3 linked regions of the Schizosaccharomyces pombe genome follow. Changing the gene in region 3 together with the main gene of any one other region gives a genetic interaction. Each region holds a gene or a part of one and is shown on either strand. Other genes may lie near its edges.

Region 1 (6,136 bases), on a different chromosome or scaffold from region 3:
GTATATTCCTGTTTTAGACCCGATTTTTTTCTTAGTACTTGATGCATCAATGTTTGTACCTAATTTATTCAAATTTCCCGCTTCCAAAATCGCATGTTCAGTTATGAACATCGTAAACGAACATGTCGGATCGTTTCTTTTGACACACCCTTCTATGGAATCCTATCGCAAAGATGATAACTTTTTGTGGCCTGAAGACTTGGATACCGTAACATCATATATGGAAAACATGTCAAAGAGGTATGCTAATGAGGAATGTACTGATTTACTGTTTTCCTCACTAGGCCGTATTTCTAGTATTTTAGCAAAGAAATATCCGGAACAATGCGCAATGGCTGCCTGGTGCAACATGACTGAAAAGGATACTGAGCGTACTTTGTAACTTTAACATTGCTTCTTCTTCGATTTATATATATTGCAATGCTTCTAGACAAACATGTAATGGAGATATAATTTCAAAATTATATATTTACTTGAGAAAAGTAAGTGTATAGTGATGTAATTTTTTTTAAGAATTTTTATAAAATTCATTATATTAATCAATTAAACTACTCTGTTATGTTCTTTGTTTTCCTAAACCGGTTTGCAACTATGCTCATATGACATTATACCGTTTGTATATATTTTTGTTATTTATTTATATGATACTTACTTAGTTTGCAAAAAGAAAAGAGAAAGTTCATAAGAAACCCCATATTACAGATTGAAGCAATTTAGGTCTTTAATAGATTTAATTTCTAAATTTGATTCTTCACCCATTAAAAGTAGTATCAGTGTTTCCCAATTTTAACAATGATACTGTGATTAAACAAAATACATCTCAATTCGAATAGAGACTTCTAAATATAAGTTAAAGCACGATAGTTGTTTTCTTAAGATGCAAGCAAAATTGATTAACTTTTCTTTCAAAAGAAAAATTAACCATGCATATGATTTTTTAGAAATGAAAGAATATTTAGTGAGTTTTTTTTAATTTTCTCCACTTGTTTATACCTTGCTCAAAGGACGCACGATTAAGGCCATCAGGAACTAAACAGAATGTAACACCAAGTCTTTCAACCTCTCTGTTCCTAGACTCATCATCAAAAAACACCATTTCTCGATAGTCAATTCCAGATTCGTTGTGGATCTCTTTGAAGTGATCCATTTTACTACCTATTTCACAATAACTAGTTAGCAATATGATTATTGATATTTTCTGTATTGACAAAAATGTATTAAAAGACATACCTGGCCAAGCTTTTACATAAGTGAAAAATTCGATAGCCGGCTTAAGACTTCCATCTATTGGTACCTTCATCAAATTCAATGCTTGTTTCGCATACTTGGGAGCACAAGTACGGCTAGCAACGCACAAAGTAACTTTTTGGTTCCTTAGCTCTTGTAAAATTCCAGTTATATCTGAGTAAAAACAAATCTCTGTGCCATATTTGTCAATCAAAACGCCTGGGTCATTTTTGGAAGGCTTAAATGGTGCAGTGACTGTGAAACTTTGTTAGAAAATAAAACATAAAGTAGATCAAAGTAAAAGATTTAATACCATGGGTATCTATCCAAAGAGGCCACAGAGTGTAGTCTAAGTCAAAAACAACGCATTTTGGGAATTCGATATTTTTTACCATATTTGCTTGATATTTTATGGTATTGGTTATTAGGTTCGTAAACAACAAGAATGAAAGTCTTTTTAAGAGTGATTTCAAGTTCAAAAGATTGACCGTAACGCTTTCAAGAAGTTTACTGCCAGTTTGCTAGTTCGATAAGATTGACACAATTTTAGTTGGTACGTTGATGTAATCCAATTTTTTTTAAAGAAAAATATATATATTCAACTTTTTTTGCATTAGTAATGAAAAAAACTTAGGAAACAAATGTTTGAATTTCATTAACTTTTATGAATTATTATTATTTAATTTAACTGTCTTTGATATTCTCAATAAACAAATAAACTGATACCAAAAAACACTGTGTAAATACCATGTTTTATAAAATTGATCAAAACTGTATACTACCAAATTACAGTCAATTAATCGTTGTCATTAACATATTCATTTAAACAATAAATTTTTTTACTGCATTTAATACATTTATATTAACCTGGGGACTTGACAGAGCTTACTAGCAAATTTAATTTTGCTGATGCATACTATTTAAAATTGAAGTAGCATTGCTACTTACCACCTTCGGGTACCTGTGACCGACAGCGAAATTGATTTACCTATATGAAAATCTTAAATGTAGCAATTGTTATTATGCGAAGTTTATGTGTCCCTCTGACTTTTCTAGTCGTTCTTTGTTTTTAGAAGCCAAAGAGGAAGAGTATAAACAAAGAAGGCGTGTTCCTTTGGACAGTAGAAGAAGAGTAAGGCGGGCATGTCTGTCTTGTCGGGCCAAGAAAATTCGATGCAGTGGTTCTGAACCATGTCAGGCTTGCATTGCTACGCCTTCGCAATGTAAGTATGCTGATTCTTTAAAAGAGCGTACTCCCTCAAAACAATTTATTGCGGAACTGAGTCAAAGGCAGAAATGCTTCGAATATCTGATGGAATTGCTGTGTCCTTCTCTTCCTCATGACACACGTAGTTTAGTCAAACTATGCAAACATGTCGAATCTTCATTAGCTTCTGGAAGCGACGTTCGTTCTTTGCTAATACCCGGGTCAATTGATCAATCTGTTTTAAAGGTTGCTGCTACAAACAATAAAGACGATTCGTCTGCTGTCAAGTCAGCAAACGTTTCTTTTCCTTCTTCATCTACTCCCCCCTCTTCGGATTCAAATTTCTCATCTATTCAAAACACTGATCTTAATACTTCCATCAAGTTTACTGAAAATATATCTGCTAATGCAATTCATGTGAACCAAGATAAGGTTATTAGAAGTGCCAATAATTTAATAATCAATTCCCAACCCATACTTCCTGTACGTTCATTCTTAGATGCTCTAGGAGAACCCATATATTTAAGTCCGACGTCAAGCACTTATTTTTTAAATTCTGTTTTAGCATCCTTACAGTTAAATTCAAGCAATACCCCAGAATCACTGCTCATTGACTATCAAAGTAAAATTCCGGAGGATCTCTCTTCCTCTTTATTGCCTTTAGAACTAAACACACTTCAATCGACCCCTACTTCAGTATCTGTAGGTTCAGCTTCTTCACAAGGAACTCATGAATATTCAATTATAAATTTGACCTCCAATCACTCATCTTTTTCATTAAAAGCTCTAAAGAAAATAGCACATAATTTGTTACCACCGGTTTCTGTCGCAGAACGTTATGCAAATGAGTTTTTCCTCCGGTATCAAAGTTTTTTTTACTTTTATCCTCCATCTGTTTTTTCTAACCGTTACCAAATCCTTGCAGATGGTTTAGTTAACTCAGATACGTTGGATACAGGATTTCTTGCTGTTGCTCTTTTAATTGTTGTGCTTGGTCACTTCTCAAATAACAACATTAATGTATTGCCCAAGGAAGTTCAGCTTAGTCATATTGATTCAATGATACAGATTTCAGAGCAATTAATTAGCTCTTTATTAAATCGCTGTACCCTTTCTTCTATTCAAGCTGTCTTTTTACTTTCACTATATCATTTTTTAACTGGAAATTTTAAATGTGCATATTCTTATTTAGGTTTTGCAATACATTCCGCGCATACCCTTGGTTTGGAGCATGGTTCAACTGATAACAGCACATTAAATGAAGTTTCAACTGAGGAGACTAGTATTCGCATATGCTGGTCCTTACGTGTTTTAGCCAGTTTTTTGTACATACAGTCTGGAATTACTCCTATCATAAATTTATTTCCAAATGGTCTGAATTCTTTAAAACTTCCTACCGTTGTCCCGGAGCTGGAGGCTCGACATTTACCTTCATCCGTTTTTCATTTTGTCGCTATAATAAAATACGCTGAGATCTCCGTACGGTCTCTAAATTCACTGTATGAATCAAGTTCTGATTATTTGATGGATGTCTCAAATTTTCCTAAATTACTATTAAAAGTTGAAAGAATCTACTCCCAAGCTCGTAATTGGAAGTTAAACTTAACCCATCAACAGCTTAATGGAACGAATGACACTTCAGATCTCCTTTTTCATTCCAACGTTAGCTTACATTTATTTTATCACTACCTAATTGTCAAGGTAAGTTGTCCCATTATGTTTTTCTATTTAAATAATTGGTATTCTGTTAAACCTTCTTCATTTACGAAAGGCCTTAACAATAAACCAAGCTTGGAAGATGTGTTTTCCAATTTGGAAACCTGCTATGAGTCTGCAAAGGCAATTGTTCAGTTATCATCGAAATTGTTATCTGCTGGTCAGATGGACAAGTGTTTTTATTTGGAGTTTGAAATTTTATACTGTTCGGCAATTGTGTTATTTTTATTCTCAGTTATGCACCTTGGTGCAGAAAACCCATTACTTGAAAGTATTTATTTACTGGAAGATATGGGATCACGTACTATCGATTCAAAGGTTCGACTTGAAAAGCTTAAGAGTGCAATCGAAATATTTGATATAAACTCAGCTACTGAAATGCCTATAAACGAGCCATTATCCGCTTCTTTTGAATCAGTCAACAAAGAAAACAGCCAGAGTGGATATATGGCTTGGCAAAATTGGGTTACAGAATTAAGCTCGTCTAACATTCCTTTAGGTCATGCTTTGGGTAATCCTGAGTCGAACAATTCATCTAACTCGTTCAAACCTTCTCATCCATCTCAAAGTTTTTTGGTCAATGAATCACTCGATTTTTCTTCGAATCCTAAGGAGCCTCCATTCCTTCCGTGGTCCGAAGCATTGCTAAATATGGATATGCAATTGAATCGTTTAGGACCATAATGATCTTATTGTTTAAACATAAGTTTTATTTTGAACGTTTTCGTTTTGTTACATATTGTTATACTTATACTTCATTATCATTAATAATGCTAACTCTAAATAAAAACTTTTTAGTCTATAATAATATTTGGACCGCTAGCTATATTGACTGTTCCGTATTTCTTTAACATAGTCTTGAAGTAGCAATACTGCTGATTTTGTAATTTTATAATGTTTTTAAAAAAAATGAATAAACTGTCATTAAAACGCTTCATGAAACTATCAGTAACATCAATTTTGCCGTAATAAAAGTTTTGTTATAACCGATATCTATACGATTCTTGAAGGAAGTGTCAATTTTTTTTTTATATTAGTATTAACGATTGAAAATGAACAAAATAAACAACAGCATCCAACAATAATCATTTACATGATCTTTTTTTATTTTTAAGATTCACAAAAGCTGGTAAGATACTGTTAGCTTTTAAAACCATTTCCTCATATTCCCCTTCAGGCGAACTAAGAATAGTAACAGCACCTCCAGCACCTATTCTCCAATAATCATCAGCTTTGTACTTAAATGCTGATCGGATAATAACGTTGAACTCAGCAGAACCTGTTACATCCCAATAACCAAGCGTGCCAGAATAAATTCCTCGACCATGTTGCTCCAAAGGTTCAAGCATCCTCACGCTTCTTAACTTAGGAGCCCCAGTCATTGAACCGGGAGGAAAACTTTTTGACAAAACATCCCATGCAGTTATTGGGGACTCAATTCTTCCATATATATTTGATAAAAGTGAGTATACATTTGAGTGTTCTTCAACAGAGTATAGTTCAGGTACATGAACACTATTTTTTTTTGCCAACTGATGCAAGTCATTACGAATGAGATCTATAATCATGTTCAATTCCCCCATATCTTTTTCATTTAATAGCTTCTTTCTTGCTTCCTCCAAAGACATGTGTCCCTCTCTTTTTAAAGTTCCTTTTATGGGTGAAAATAGGCAACGATCGTCTCGAAATTGTAAGAATCTTTCTGGAGAACAACAGAGTAGAGTAAAATGGTTCAACCTTACAAAACCTGCAAACGTAGCAGGATTTAAAGACCTTGCGCGCATATACATCTCAAAATCAGAAAGCTCTGGAGGTGCCGAAACAAATGTCGTATCCGTTAAGCACATTTCATAAGAATCACCGGCCAAGAGATGTTCTTGGCAGGCTTTCACAGATTCACAGTATACCTCCTTTTTTGGAAAACTTTGAACCAGGCCAAAATTTTGCTTCCCATCGAAACTATGTAAGCAAGATAGGTTATCCAGC
Region 2 (5,001 bases), 660 kb from region 3:
AATGTAAGGGTTCCTTGGACGTGGTACGTTTTATTTATAATTATGGTGGAATACCGTCTTTCTTTAAGGGAATCAGGCCTCGTATGGTAGTAGCAATGCCGGCTACGGCGGTTTCTTGGGCTGCTTACGAAGCAGGTAAAGAAATTTTGATTCGTGTTTCCAAAACTTCTCAAGCCTAAGTTTATGTGTGTGTTTTCTTTATTTCATCCGTTTAGATATTCTGGGGTTTCTTATGACTATCGAGACGATTTACTAAAGGCATTTTCTGGTTCTTTGGCTGATCTTTGTAAAATATAAAATATTCCCTTTTAACGCAATTTTTTTCCTTTCTGTCTTATTTTATAATGATGTGTCTTTTGAGGCAAGTTCTGTTTTTACTTAATTTTTGCCATGTTTTTTAGACGGACAATGTCTTTAGTCGGGGAGGGTTTGTTTGTATATACTTCATCTAATCATTTTCTGTGAAGATGGAATTTACTATGTTTTCAGCACCTGATTGAATTAAAAAAAAATGGCATTTCCAGTATATTCATCAAGCGTGCGATAGGAAAACATATTAAAGTATTATGTTTTGCTTTATCTTCAATATAATTTCATAGCTAGCATGTGTGGTAAAGTGAAATCTTGTAAATAAAGAAAAGTATTATTGAAATTGGAAACTGGATACGAATGGTAATATGTCTTTGTCAATGTCACATCCGTGTAGGTATATTAGCTGTTTCGTAATTATTATACACGCCAAAATGAGGTGGTATTTGCACGGGCTTTTTAATAGTATAGCTAATTGGCAGCAATTATGCTACTGACACGAATTTGCGCAAACTCAACTTGACACTGTCGAAAGCATACGGATTGAAGAAGCCGGCATTCAAAATAAGACATACTATATCCGTGAGATACAGCTCAAGAAATTTGTAAATCATAAACTTTCATGTGTATTAAATACAGATTACGATAACGCATGTATAGGAGAAGACACTACAGGTGAGGAAATCACCTTTTTTCGCACCAGCCAGCTAAAGAGGACGCTACATGTGATATACCCGATAAGATGAAAAAACTTTAGTTTGTTAGTGTATAATTAATGAATACGATACTTTGTTGACATACTGCTTTACGAGAATAAGAGCGTTCTTCTTCCTCCGTGCGAAAGGATGCAAATATTCGTCTAAGATTCTATAACGTTAGTAAAACAAAATCATTATGACTATGATAAAATTTTGCATACTGGCAGCATTTTGTTTTATATGGACAAGAGAAAATCCCAATTTGGAAATATTATGAAGTATGCAATATGTAATGGAATAAAAGAGAAACGGATGTAGTATTGGAAGAGATATCGATCATATTTATGGTACGAAAGTTTAGAATAGTCTTGAAAAGTTGTTCATTATATTATGTATTAAAAAAATCATTTATACAGTCTTCATTTTCTTGTTAATGAGTTTGTCATTGATATTATCACAGTCGTTTATGCAAAGAAATACTCAAGTTAGAGTGTTATTATTATTTGCTTAGTATAGAACAACTCTTTGATTCTTCAAATTTACAGTTTCGAGTTGATTTTTGAAGTAATCGTAGTTTAACAAGAAGAGCAATTACCTTTCGAGTGATGGAATTATGTGAAAGAAGTATTGAAACATTAGTATGAGATAAAATTATCAAAACTTTTAGGTTAAGAAAACACAATTTGGTGACAAGGGCTAGGTATGCATATTATTTATAATAAATCCTTGATAGATCCCCTTACTCGTATAAACAAAGGAGATCGAACAGTCAAAAATCTTAGCAGCATCTTATACAATTTATGTAGTGCTCTCTAAAAATTTGCCAAAACATCCTATGTATTAGGAACTTTAAAGCAAAAGGTATATATGGTTATAATAAACCATATCTTTTCTCTGGGGCAATTTGACATGCTTCAAAAAAAAAAAAAAAAAAAGAAGGTATTAGTATGTACCTTCTGTAAGGGAATAAGGGGTGCTACAACTATTTTAAAGAAAGTAATTTGTACATTAAAAGTATGCCAATTGCTTTGAAGAGCTGTCACGAAAATAGAAAGGAAGTAAAAGAGAAAGCATTAGAATATGTGGTATTATTTTGCTTGAAGAGCTTCCCATTGTGCCGGACTATAACATTTCTGCATTTAAAGTTAGTAACTGATTAAGAATAGTTGAAAGCATTTTTTTTTTTCAGATTCCTTCTTCTTTTTTCTATCTTATATGCCTGAAACTTAGAGTACGAACCTGAGTAAAGGCATGGATATCCTTGATCACCTCTTGAAGTTTGTGATTCACAAGACGGTGACGAGCTAGCGTGCTTTTCCCTTCAAACAGAGGGGAAACAATGATTACTTCGAAGTTCTGGCCACATCCTCCAGACATATCTTGGATCTCCTATATAAGTATCAGTAAAATGGTTTGCTTAAAGTAATGTGAAACCAAAAAATAAAAATAAAAATTTTGCTCAACGTACAATGTGGGTAGGTTCTAATGTATTTTGTATCAAAAGCTCAAGTTGTTGTGCATTTACCATGTTTTATAAACGTTGTCGATTGAAGTTATGTTATGGTTCTTTTCAAGATGTGTATTCGCTTTCAACCAACTAGGTGTTCTCCTGTCAAAATCTCTAAAACCCTTAAAAAGATGACAGAAGTCGAAGTAAGACATAGACATTAAGTATTATATATTAATTGAGTATATTAGGAAAGGATTAATGCTTGGAATGACGGGTTCGAAGAGCTTTTAAGTTATATCCCTGCAAAGCTCTACTATCGCGAGCATACAGCGGTATGTGAGATATTTGGAATAATTATGTTTAACTGTTCAATTTAGAATCAATGGAAACAGAAAAAATCTACGCTAGAGGAGAAGAAAGAACGCCGAAAAATGAAATTTAGCTTGGATGGTCTTGTTAACGATGCGGACGATGATAGTCAAAAATCTTCAAAGTGGGAACAGTCTTCGACTATGAGTGATGATACAGATGTTTCAGATCGTCATGCTGAAAGCATGTCACAGATCAGAGGTAAACTAGCATCAAAGATTCAGGATTTGCGTGAGAAGAGGAAAGCCGGTGACTTGAATCAAAAACGACAAAATAAGCGTCCTGTCGAGAATGAAAAGGATTCTCAAAAGGGATCAGGAAAAAGCAAGGTTCAAAAGAAGAAACACAAGGCATCTCCTCGTGCTGGTTTCTAAGCTTTGTTGCCTTAAAGAGTAAATTCATCAAAAGAGGCAAACCCTGACAAAAAACTAAAACGTTAATACAAAGGTTCTGGATAATAGAGGATTAAAAAAGTACTATTTTTTTGAGAAAATTATTTCTTTTGTCTTTCGCAAGTTGGTTAAAAAATTCAAGGATGGACGGATACGGTTGGGAGCGGGCTTTTATTTTATTGCAGTTCGATTTAGTATAATTCTTATTTAAATATTCTTTGGTCTTATTTTTTGTATCGTCCTACCATTGTTAACGTTAGTTTTGAGGCATCAAGGCAGCATACCTCACAGGTTTCCAATGCACGCATTGATGATTTCCTGCAAAAATGATTTTAAAGGACAAACGCGTAATATTATAGCCTTCTACTTATCTTTATAAGTGTAAATGTATGTTTCAGATTTTATTTCGCTTCTGCTGTTTATTTTTCCTTCACTAAGCAGTTTAACATATGAAAAGTTGGATTGCTTATTTAGTAAATCTTGTAACGTTTGATGAAGTGGATCGTCAAATGTATTCTTAGAGTTTACAAGAGCAACGCCTTGAGACGTCCCATGGTTTTTTGTTTGTATATGAAAGTTTTTGTTTTAGTATAAGAAGATACAAGCAAAATGAATTGAGCAGACAATTTGTTTCTAGTATTATCATTAGTGCTTCAATAGATGCTCTGTAGTCATACTCAATGTACTTACTATAGTATTTTAGTGTGTATGAGTTTATATATACTACTAGTATCATTTGACTTGACTCATCAGTAGTGCATCCTCAGTTTACTACGACTGCATGCACCGTCTATCATTTCAATATCGCATTATATCTCTTTCCTTTCCGCTGTTTATTCTTTTAATGTTTTTCATTAGGCAAGCTATTAATTATTAATTGATTTTAATTGTCAATACTGCTCACCTTGCTAACATAACCCGTCGTTTGTCATCATCAATAAAACCCTTACTACGGCAACCTCTGAGTATTAGATAGTTCTGTTTTTGTTTTTTATTTTTTTAATCTTTTTTTTATTGTTGATTTTTTATATCTCGCGCGGTCGTTTTGTTTTCCAATTTTAAACTTATCTGTCCAAATAATCAAACTTGTGATGCTATGGAGAATCCTAACTTGCTGCAAGAGCCCCGAAGAAGATAAGGATGAGCATAAGAAGAAACCTCCTAATGTAGGACATGCGCATTTAAGCGTTGTTTCACCATTGAACGAGCTAGCAAGTGAAAAATCAAGATCTAGCTTATGCATAGAGTGGACAATAGATTCTTTGCGACAGTTTGTACAGCAACTTTCAGTTAGACAGAATATGTCAAAAGATCGTCGAGAAGCTTTAACGTATTTTATTAACTCCTACAATGATTTATTTCATGATGTATACTATGGTGATGGTCGATCCATGTCGAAGACGGAGGAAGCACAGACCATAGTGACATTTACCATTGGTTCTTACTTGTACAAATACACCCATCCATCAGAACTGTTTTGGCAAAGGCTTAGTGACAATATGGCAAATATAGAAGATGATGGTACGTGTACGGAGGCTCAACTAGCTTTTCGAAAAAGGGCAGCTTTATCAAAACTTGGGCATCCCGCTTTCCATTTTTTACCAATGAATAATAAGGAGTCCTTTCACTATGCTTGGTCTTTATTCACTTCGACATATTTTCAAAAAGCTGCTACGGTTTCTCCTTCACCTAATCAGCAGCCAGTTGACAGTGTCGCCAATCCTCAATTACGAAAAGCCTCTGAAATTACGACTATATCATCACGCTCAGATGTTGATATTCT
Region 3 (6,658 bases):
AATCACAGCCTTTCGATCCATATGTGGAGGCCTTTGAAAAATATGGAAGAGATACAGCCTTCATTCCTGTGCTGAGACACAAAAGGGTTCACGAAGAACAGCTTAGAGATAAATTAAAAAACGTTCGTAAAACTTATTGTGGTTTAATCGTTACCAGTCAACGAGTTAGCGAAACTCTGGATGAAGCATTAAAACAAGAAGATGAAACGGAGAGGCAGAAAATATTGATGGAAACACCAATATTTACAGTAGGTCCGGCGACTGATGATAGTATTCGACGTCTCGGTTTTCAGCAAACACATGGAAAGGACTGTGGAAGGGGTGAGGTTTTGGCAGATTTAATTGAAGAGTGGTATACTACGACTAAACAACATAAGCCCTTACTTTTCCTTGTAGGGGAAAAGCATAGGGATATAATTCAAAGAAAACTGGGGGACGACAGAGTAGATTCATTAATCGTATATGCTACGCAAGAATTAGAAAATACAGAAACCCAAATAAAGGATACGATTAGAAAACATCCTACAATTGATTGGATTGTCGCATTCAGTCCGACATCCATTTGCTCTTTATTAAACACATTTGAATTAAAGATCGCAACCATTGGACCTACTACTGGAGATTATCTAAAGAAGCTGGGAACTCAACCGAACGTTGTATCTCCAGCACCTAATCCAGAGAGCTTGGCATCCAGCATAGTTGCCTTTGATGAGGAGAATTCTAGTTGAAGCTTTTTATCTGAAATTTACTTCACGAAATATTAAGGCCTTCAATACCGGTATTTCGAGATCTTCTTTGTTACAGTATAAATCGACGAGGTTGGGAGGCATGGGGGATGCTGTAGGCTCATCACTGGCATCATGATAAGCAGCTACATACGGGTGCTTTAGAGCCTCTTCTGCAGTTATACGCTTATCAGGATTAAATGTCAGTAATTTTTCTAAAAGGTCAATAGCATCTGGTGATGCCTGAGGAAAGAGTGCTTTGAATGATACTTTAGGAGTAAATGGAAGACTTTTAATATATTTCCTCGCACGTGCAGATTTAATTCTTGAAAAATCGTCCATAGTAGGCGTTCCTAGAATGTTAAGGATTAAAGTAATTTGACTATGATAGTCCTTTCCTGGGAACAATGGTCGAGCAGAAAGCATCTCAGCAAGTATACAACCAGTACTCCATAAATCAATAGCTTTGCTGTATTCTCGGAAACTCAGCATAATTTCCGGTGCTCGATACCAACGAGTTGCGACATACTCAGTCATAAAGCCAGGATTTCCGCCTTGAGCTGTGGTGGAACGTGCCAAACCGAAATCGGCAACTTTGAGATCACAATTGGCATTTAGTAGTAAGTTTGATGGCTTCAGGTCTCTATGAACAACTCCAGCACTATGCATGGCTTTCAGAGCGCGCAAAATTTGATACGTAAAGTATTGACAATGATCATCGCTTAAGGGCTGCGAACGTATAACACGGTACAAATCCGTTTCCATAAGCTCTTGTACAATATAAACATCTTCCAATTCCTGGTAGCTCGGTGGTGGAAGGATGTCTAGAATTGAAATTATATTTTCATGACGAAAATGTCTGAGTAACTTGATTTCCCTTAAAGTTCTTAGACAAAACACAGGATGATTGAAAGGATGTATTTTTTTAACAGCCACCTTTAGGCCGCTGGGTTTGTGAAGCGCGGCACATACAACTCCATAAGCACCTTGACCGATGAGATTGATCATTTCGTATTCCTCTGGTAGCTCAAAGTTTAGATCATGCGTGTGTGGGCTTCGACTTGTAGCTACTGACTCCTTGTTGGAATTCCCATCCGCAATAGTAGGCGTGGAAGTAGCGCTCGCCATTAGACTACAAATTGAAAAACTTGAAAGAAATGAAGCGATATGAATAGATAAATAGAATTAAAAAGAATTACAACGTTCTTTGTAATAAATTATGTTATGCAATCCTTTGTGCTTTAAATCCGACAATATTGAAAAAAGTCGGTTTGCCAGCCAAAGACAGAAATAGACAAGGATGTATTAGAAATCCCTTTATCAAATTAGTTTAGTATTAAATTAAATAATGCGAAAGAAGGACGTTCGGCAGCACTTCAAAAACAGGCGCTAGCAACAATAATACAAATATTAGGTTGCAAGCTTATAAAATATAGGAATAACAAAAGAAATAGAAAATATACAAAAATCGTAAAAGGGAAGAATTTCAAAAAACCAGACAAATGTATCTTCGCAATTGAGATTAAAGGCCCACAATGGTTATTCAATAAAAAAATGATGCTTCAAATATTGCCAAGCAAAGATGCCTTGAGGGAATTGCAAAAGCGTCCTTCAAAACCGTCTCTAGCAATTTCTCAATTGCCCTTCCAAAACTGTTGAAAAGCTGTTGGTAATTGTTAAGTAGTGTGGTTGGACTAGTCAACATTTATAACTTACAATAACAAAGAAAGTTTCTTTGTTAATGTATTGCCCCAGAAACTTCATAGATACGAATCTTTAGACAGAATAAAGAAACGATGAGTGACATGAAATCAAAAAAGTAACACACATTTTAAGTGCGCGACGCGTCGCGCATATTCTTTGTTTACACTAACTTACAAACCTTCCATCTACCACGACAGAAATTAAAGGCAAAGAAATGCAATATTTTAAGACTATCTAAATCGAAATAATTAATTTACAAGGTAAGCAGAAACAATTGGTTATGCAAGGATATTTGAATGGGTTCTTGAAGAGGTTGAACAGAAACCGTATGATGGTTGTTTAATTTTATGTTCTCGTAATAATAATCTTATGAAAGTTTAAAAAGCATGAAAAAAAATAGATAAATCCGTTGAAACTCTCAAACAAAAATAGTTAAACATTCATAAATTTCCCTTGGCGTCCTTACTTCATCATGAATTGGCTAACCCGTTATTAGAAGGCATTGTAAATTAATGATGTTAGCTATCGACATGACAATAAATGAAAACCAGGGAACACGCTCAAATTTGGAAAGTCCTACACTTTCATGTAGCAGTAAGGGTGCAATGCAAGAAAGAGACGTTATGTTTACAGATCACAATACCTTCAATATCACTAATAATAAATCTCGGCCTGGAAGTTTAATGAAATCTATGAAAAGAAAAGATGTTTACGAATTTGATGAAGATAATGAGTTTGAGTTTGAAATGGGGTCACTTATACATAAGCCTTCACGTGCTCACTCCTTAGGAGGAACTAGTGAGCCTGTGTCAGATGACCATAAAGATTGTATGGAAGCTACACGACAGTTATTGGAAAATAGTCCACTTTCCTCTGTCGTTGTCAAAACATGTAGTGATCATGCATCAAAGCGTAAAATTGCGCGATCCTCTTCTGACGATTCTGAAAGCAAAGTTGAAAGCACAAACTCTTTCAATGCAAAGAAAAGAAAGGATGCATGGACAGAGGAGCATGAAAAGTGGTTTCAAGCAAGGATTGATGAATTGTTAACGATTCGGTCTATATCACGGGAGCAAATGATCGAGATATTGGAAGACGAACATGCTGGGAGTCGACTTCAAGGGTTTTTAGAGTCAGTAGCATCTTTTCTGAATCGAAAAGAAAATAGTTTACTAAAGTACATGCGTGCTTTTTTTCAAGTCGCCGGTTACGAAAAGATAGACATTGGAAGCTTGGCTGCTGAAGAGGATTCGCAACTTAATTTTTCTCTAGAAGACGCACAAGTGATTCAAAAAGTAGTTTTGTCTTATTGTAATAATGAAGGCGTAGATTTACAAGAGTTTGGCTTCCGGATGAGTTCTTCAAGCTTAAGACATACAAATATCAACTTTCTATACAACGAACTACGCGAATTGCTGCCTACTTCTATTTCAAGAAAAGGAATTATTCGTTATTTGAAGGAAATCTACAAGCCGTTGGATCCGAAAGATAGGAATGCATGGGAGGAAAGTGAGCTAAAAAAGCTGTACACCCTAGTTGAACAAGAGGGAACGCGGTGGAACAGCATAGCGAACAAACTGGGAACGTCACCTGCCGCGTGCATGAGTCAATGGAGGTTTGTTGTAGGTACTAGTACTCAGGAAACAATTGATCGGCGCAAATTATGGACGAATGAAGAGGAAGCAAAGCTATTAGACTTGGTAAAGTCTTCTTACCGGTCGTCTTTTCACACAAAAAAAATGACAAGCCTTTTCACACACAATAATCACACTACTTCAAACATACAACGGGAAATACCGGCATCTGATTCCATTGCATGGCATAGCATATCGAAGAAGCTTGGGACTAAGTCGCCGGAAAGCTGTCGAAAACAGTACGAAAAAACAATCGCATCTTATTCTTCTAACCAACGTCAAGAGGAGGATCAAGGGAAGAAAAGGAAGAAGAGAAAAAAGAAGAAATCAAAGGGTAAACGCAAATTTTACGTCGCGGATAGTTTAAAACTACTAGAACATGTACAAAGGCAATGCGGAGAAGCAATCTCCATAAATGCCATTGATTGGAAAGGCATTGTCAAGCAAATGCCAAAATGGTCCGAGGAGGAATTGAGAGCGCAAGCCACAAATTTGGTAGCGAGTGTTCGCGGCTGGAAAAAGACACGTTTAAGTGAGAGTGTGAGAATCGCAATTACAGATTTGAAAAGTCTTCCTCCTGACGTATAATAACAAATATTGCAGACGAAACGTTAATAAGTGCGCAAGAAAAAATAGTCAAAAAATATCTTTTTTGCTGGTATGTCACGTTTGCCCAGGTCATATTGAATGTTTTTCTTGGCTGTCTCAATTTTCCCACACAATATAATGATATTTCTCATCTCTTTTTGCGACAGGGGCGAAAATAGTTGGACTGCACTTCAAGAGCAACCGAACCCGTCTACCTGCAAAACGTACCTACACAAGAATTCTGCAGCATTAAAGTTTATATGGCAGAGCAATGGAGAAGAAGAGTGAGTCACCTGGTTCCTCTCCACATACTGGATACTGTTGATTTAGGTTCATTTGCGAACCCATCAATCATTTTACTTCTCGACATACTGTTGCCAATCTAAATTACTTTCTTTTCATACTTGTTCCAATTGCTGGTTACCTGATATCCTCTCTCGTCTACCTTAATCCGATTAAGTGCGATGTATTTGCAACATGCACGTGTGCATTGTAACCAGCCTCATTCCGAGCCTTTCCGCTTATTTATTTATTAAATTTTTAATGTATATTCGTTATTTAATTAATATCTAAGCATGGATCGTATGGTTACTAACTTATTTCTTACTTCATCCCTGATAATGACGGATAATAGATGCAAAAATGAATGGTTTGGTGGTGGCCAACGAAACAATCGACACTGCTACGGCTCTACTAAAACAAGTCACGTTCAACGGTTCATCGGCTAATATTAACTCAAAAAAAAAAAAGAATAAAATAAGTATAGTTCGGGGTCCGAGATTTCTTTGATAGTCCCTTGGACATTCTATTTTAGCATTTCAACTAACAACTGAAAGGGCCGGAAAATCTTTGAAATTTTTAAATCTGTTTAACTCATCCCAAAGTAATTGAGTGTCGGAAAAGAAATGGCCCGAACGGTTTTATGAACCGGTCCCTACTAAAGAATAACAAAATTCAAATATTGGAAAGGCAGGTTTTGGTTTTGAACGCAGTTGTTGGATTGAAAATATATTCCATTGTACTTTGTACTTGATAATCAAAGTAATCTTGTTGTTGATCATTAAAGGCGTATCAACAGTGTTGGGGAAAAAGTTTACCTTGAATCTTATCTAGCAGCGGAAACTAAATAATTATATTTATTAAATTGTTAGACCAGCCTAAAACTATCGGGATTAGCGTTGGGTAAGGGATTTACGGAATATTTACCGTATTAGGTTTTTTTTGAGTTTTAAAAATTTAACTCGCTAACATAACCGAAGCCTCGCACATATAAACTATCTTTCAACCTACTTGACTCAACTTTTCCTTCACCAACCGCAGTGTTGCATTAAGCAGCAAAACGTTGTCACCTTCGAATAGCGTCTTTTTGACGAATAAAAAGGTTGGACAACAAAATTAAATTAAGCAAATTTGTGTATAAACTAACAGCAAGTGAAGTTGTACCGGTTGTATGATTGAAGCATTGTAAACCAAAGAACAGCTACTTTGCCTTGTCGTACATTAGCTTTTTCCTTTGCAAAGAACTTTTAGGGACCTTTTTTTACCACAACTAGAGAACCGGTGTAGAAAGGTGTTCTATTTTAGTGAACGGATTCGTTTAATTTTTTCATTGAGAAAAAAATTTGATCTATCTTGATTTTTTCGACTGTTTCCATTTTTAACTATTTGTGACGTTTCTTATTGCCAAATTTCAACCTTGAGCATTGTTAAAAAAGCTGAATTTAAATTTCTTTGCTTTTAACATACAAGTGAGCTATTGGGTTTGTAAAGATTTAATACTTGATTGGAAGTTTTTTTGGTCAAGTCTGTTTTTTTTGGGTGTTTTTTTGACGATCAGTTGAAACCGCGAATAATAATATTTATTATAACTCCCTAAAAAAAGAAAGAAAATCATTTATTAAATAATTTTTACTTTCCTTCATTGTTTCTGAATTTTGCTTCTCCCTGCCGTTTAATTGTTTCATTTTCTTTTAGAAAGTACTAAAAGGTAATCAAATCGGCTAGTCT

Evidence for each region.
Region 1: mutations in eta2 (region 3) and thi5 together harm fitness less than expected from each alone (positive genetic interaction), as found in Schizosaccharomyces pombe (one large-scale study listed by BioGRID).
Region 2: mutations in eta2 (region 3) and rrp14 together harm fitness more than expected from each alone (negative genetic interaction), as found in Schizosaccharomyces pombe (one large-scale study listed by BioGRID).

Annotation. Positions count from the first base shown.
Region 1 is NC_003423.3:3,693,819-3,699,954, reverse strand, and holds thi5 (DNA-binding transcription factor Thi5), read left to right. Parts: upstream 1-2,249; 5' UTR 2,250-2,260; coding exon 2,261-4,834; 3' UTR 4,835-4,991; downstream 4,992-6,136. Other genes in the region: G1 cyclin Puc1, read left to right, coding at 1-382; SPOM_SPBP8B7.31 (acid phosphatase), read right to left, coding at 918-982, 1,036-1,155, 1,231-1,482, 1,541-1,622; abz1 (para-aminobenzoate synthase), read right to left, coding at 5,236-6,136. UniProt on the Schizosaccharomyces pombe protein: Transcription factor that activates the nmt1 promoter. Regulation of thiamine repressible genes. Negatively regulates conjugation during meiosis, by inducing negative regulators which delay conjugation. Involved in thi1 regulation.
Region 2 is NC_003424.3:3,656,666-3,661,666, reverse strand, and holds rrp14 (ribosome biogenesis protein Rrp14-N), read left to right. Parts: upstream 1-2,602; 5' UTR 2,603-2,645; coding exon 2,646-2,660; intron 2,661-2,705; coding exon 2,706-2,789; intron 2,790-2,834; coding exon 2,835-3,200; 3' UTR 3,201-3,856; downstream 3,857-5,001. Other genes in the region: mrs3 (mitochondrial iron ion transporter), read left to right, coding at 1-179; ermes regulator Emr1, read right to left, coding at 950-1,060, 1,111-1,176, 1,229-1,237; iron-sensor Fra2, read right to left, coding at 2,096-2,140, 2,247-2,396, 2,476-2,535; protein mug129, read left to right, coding at 4,310-5,001.
Region 3 is NC_003424.3:2,999,116-3,005,773, forward strand, and holds eta2 (RNA polymerase I termination factor, Myb family Eta2), read left to right. Parts: upstream 1-2,941; coding exon 2,942-4,651; 3' UTR 4,652-5,801; downstream 5,802-6,658. Other genes in the region: hem4 (uroporphyrinogen-III synthase Ups), read left to right, coding at 1-728; MAP kinase Spk1, read right to left, coding at 735-1,853.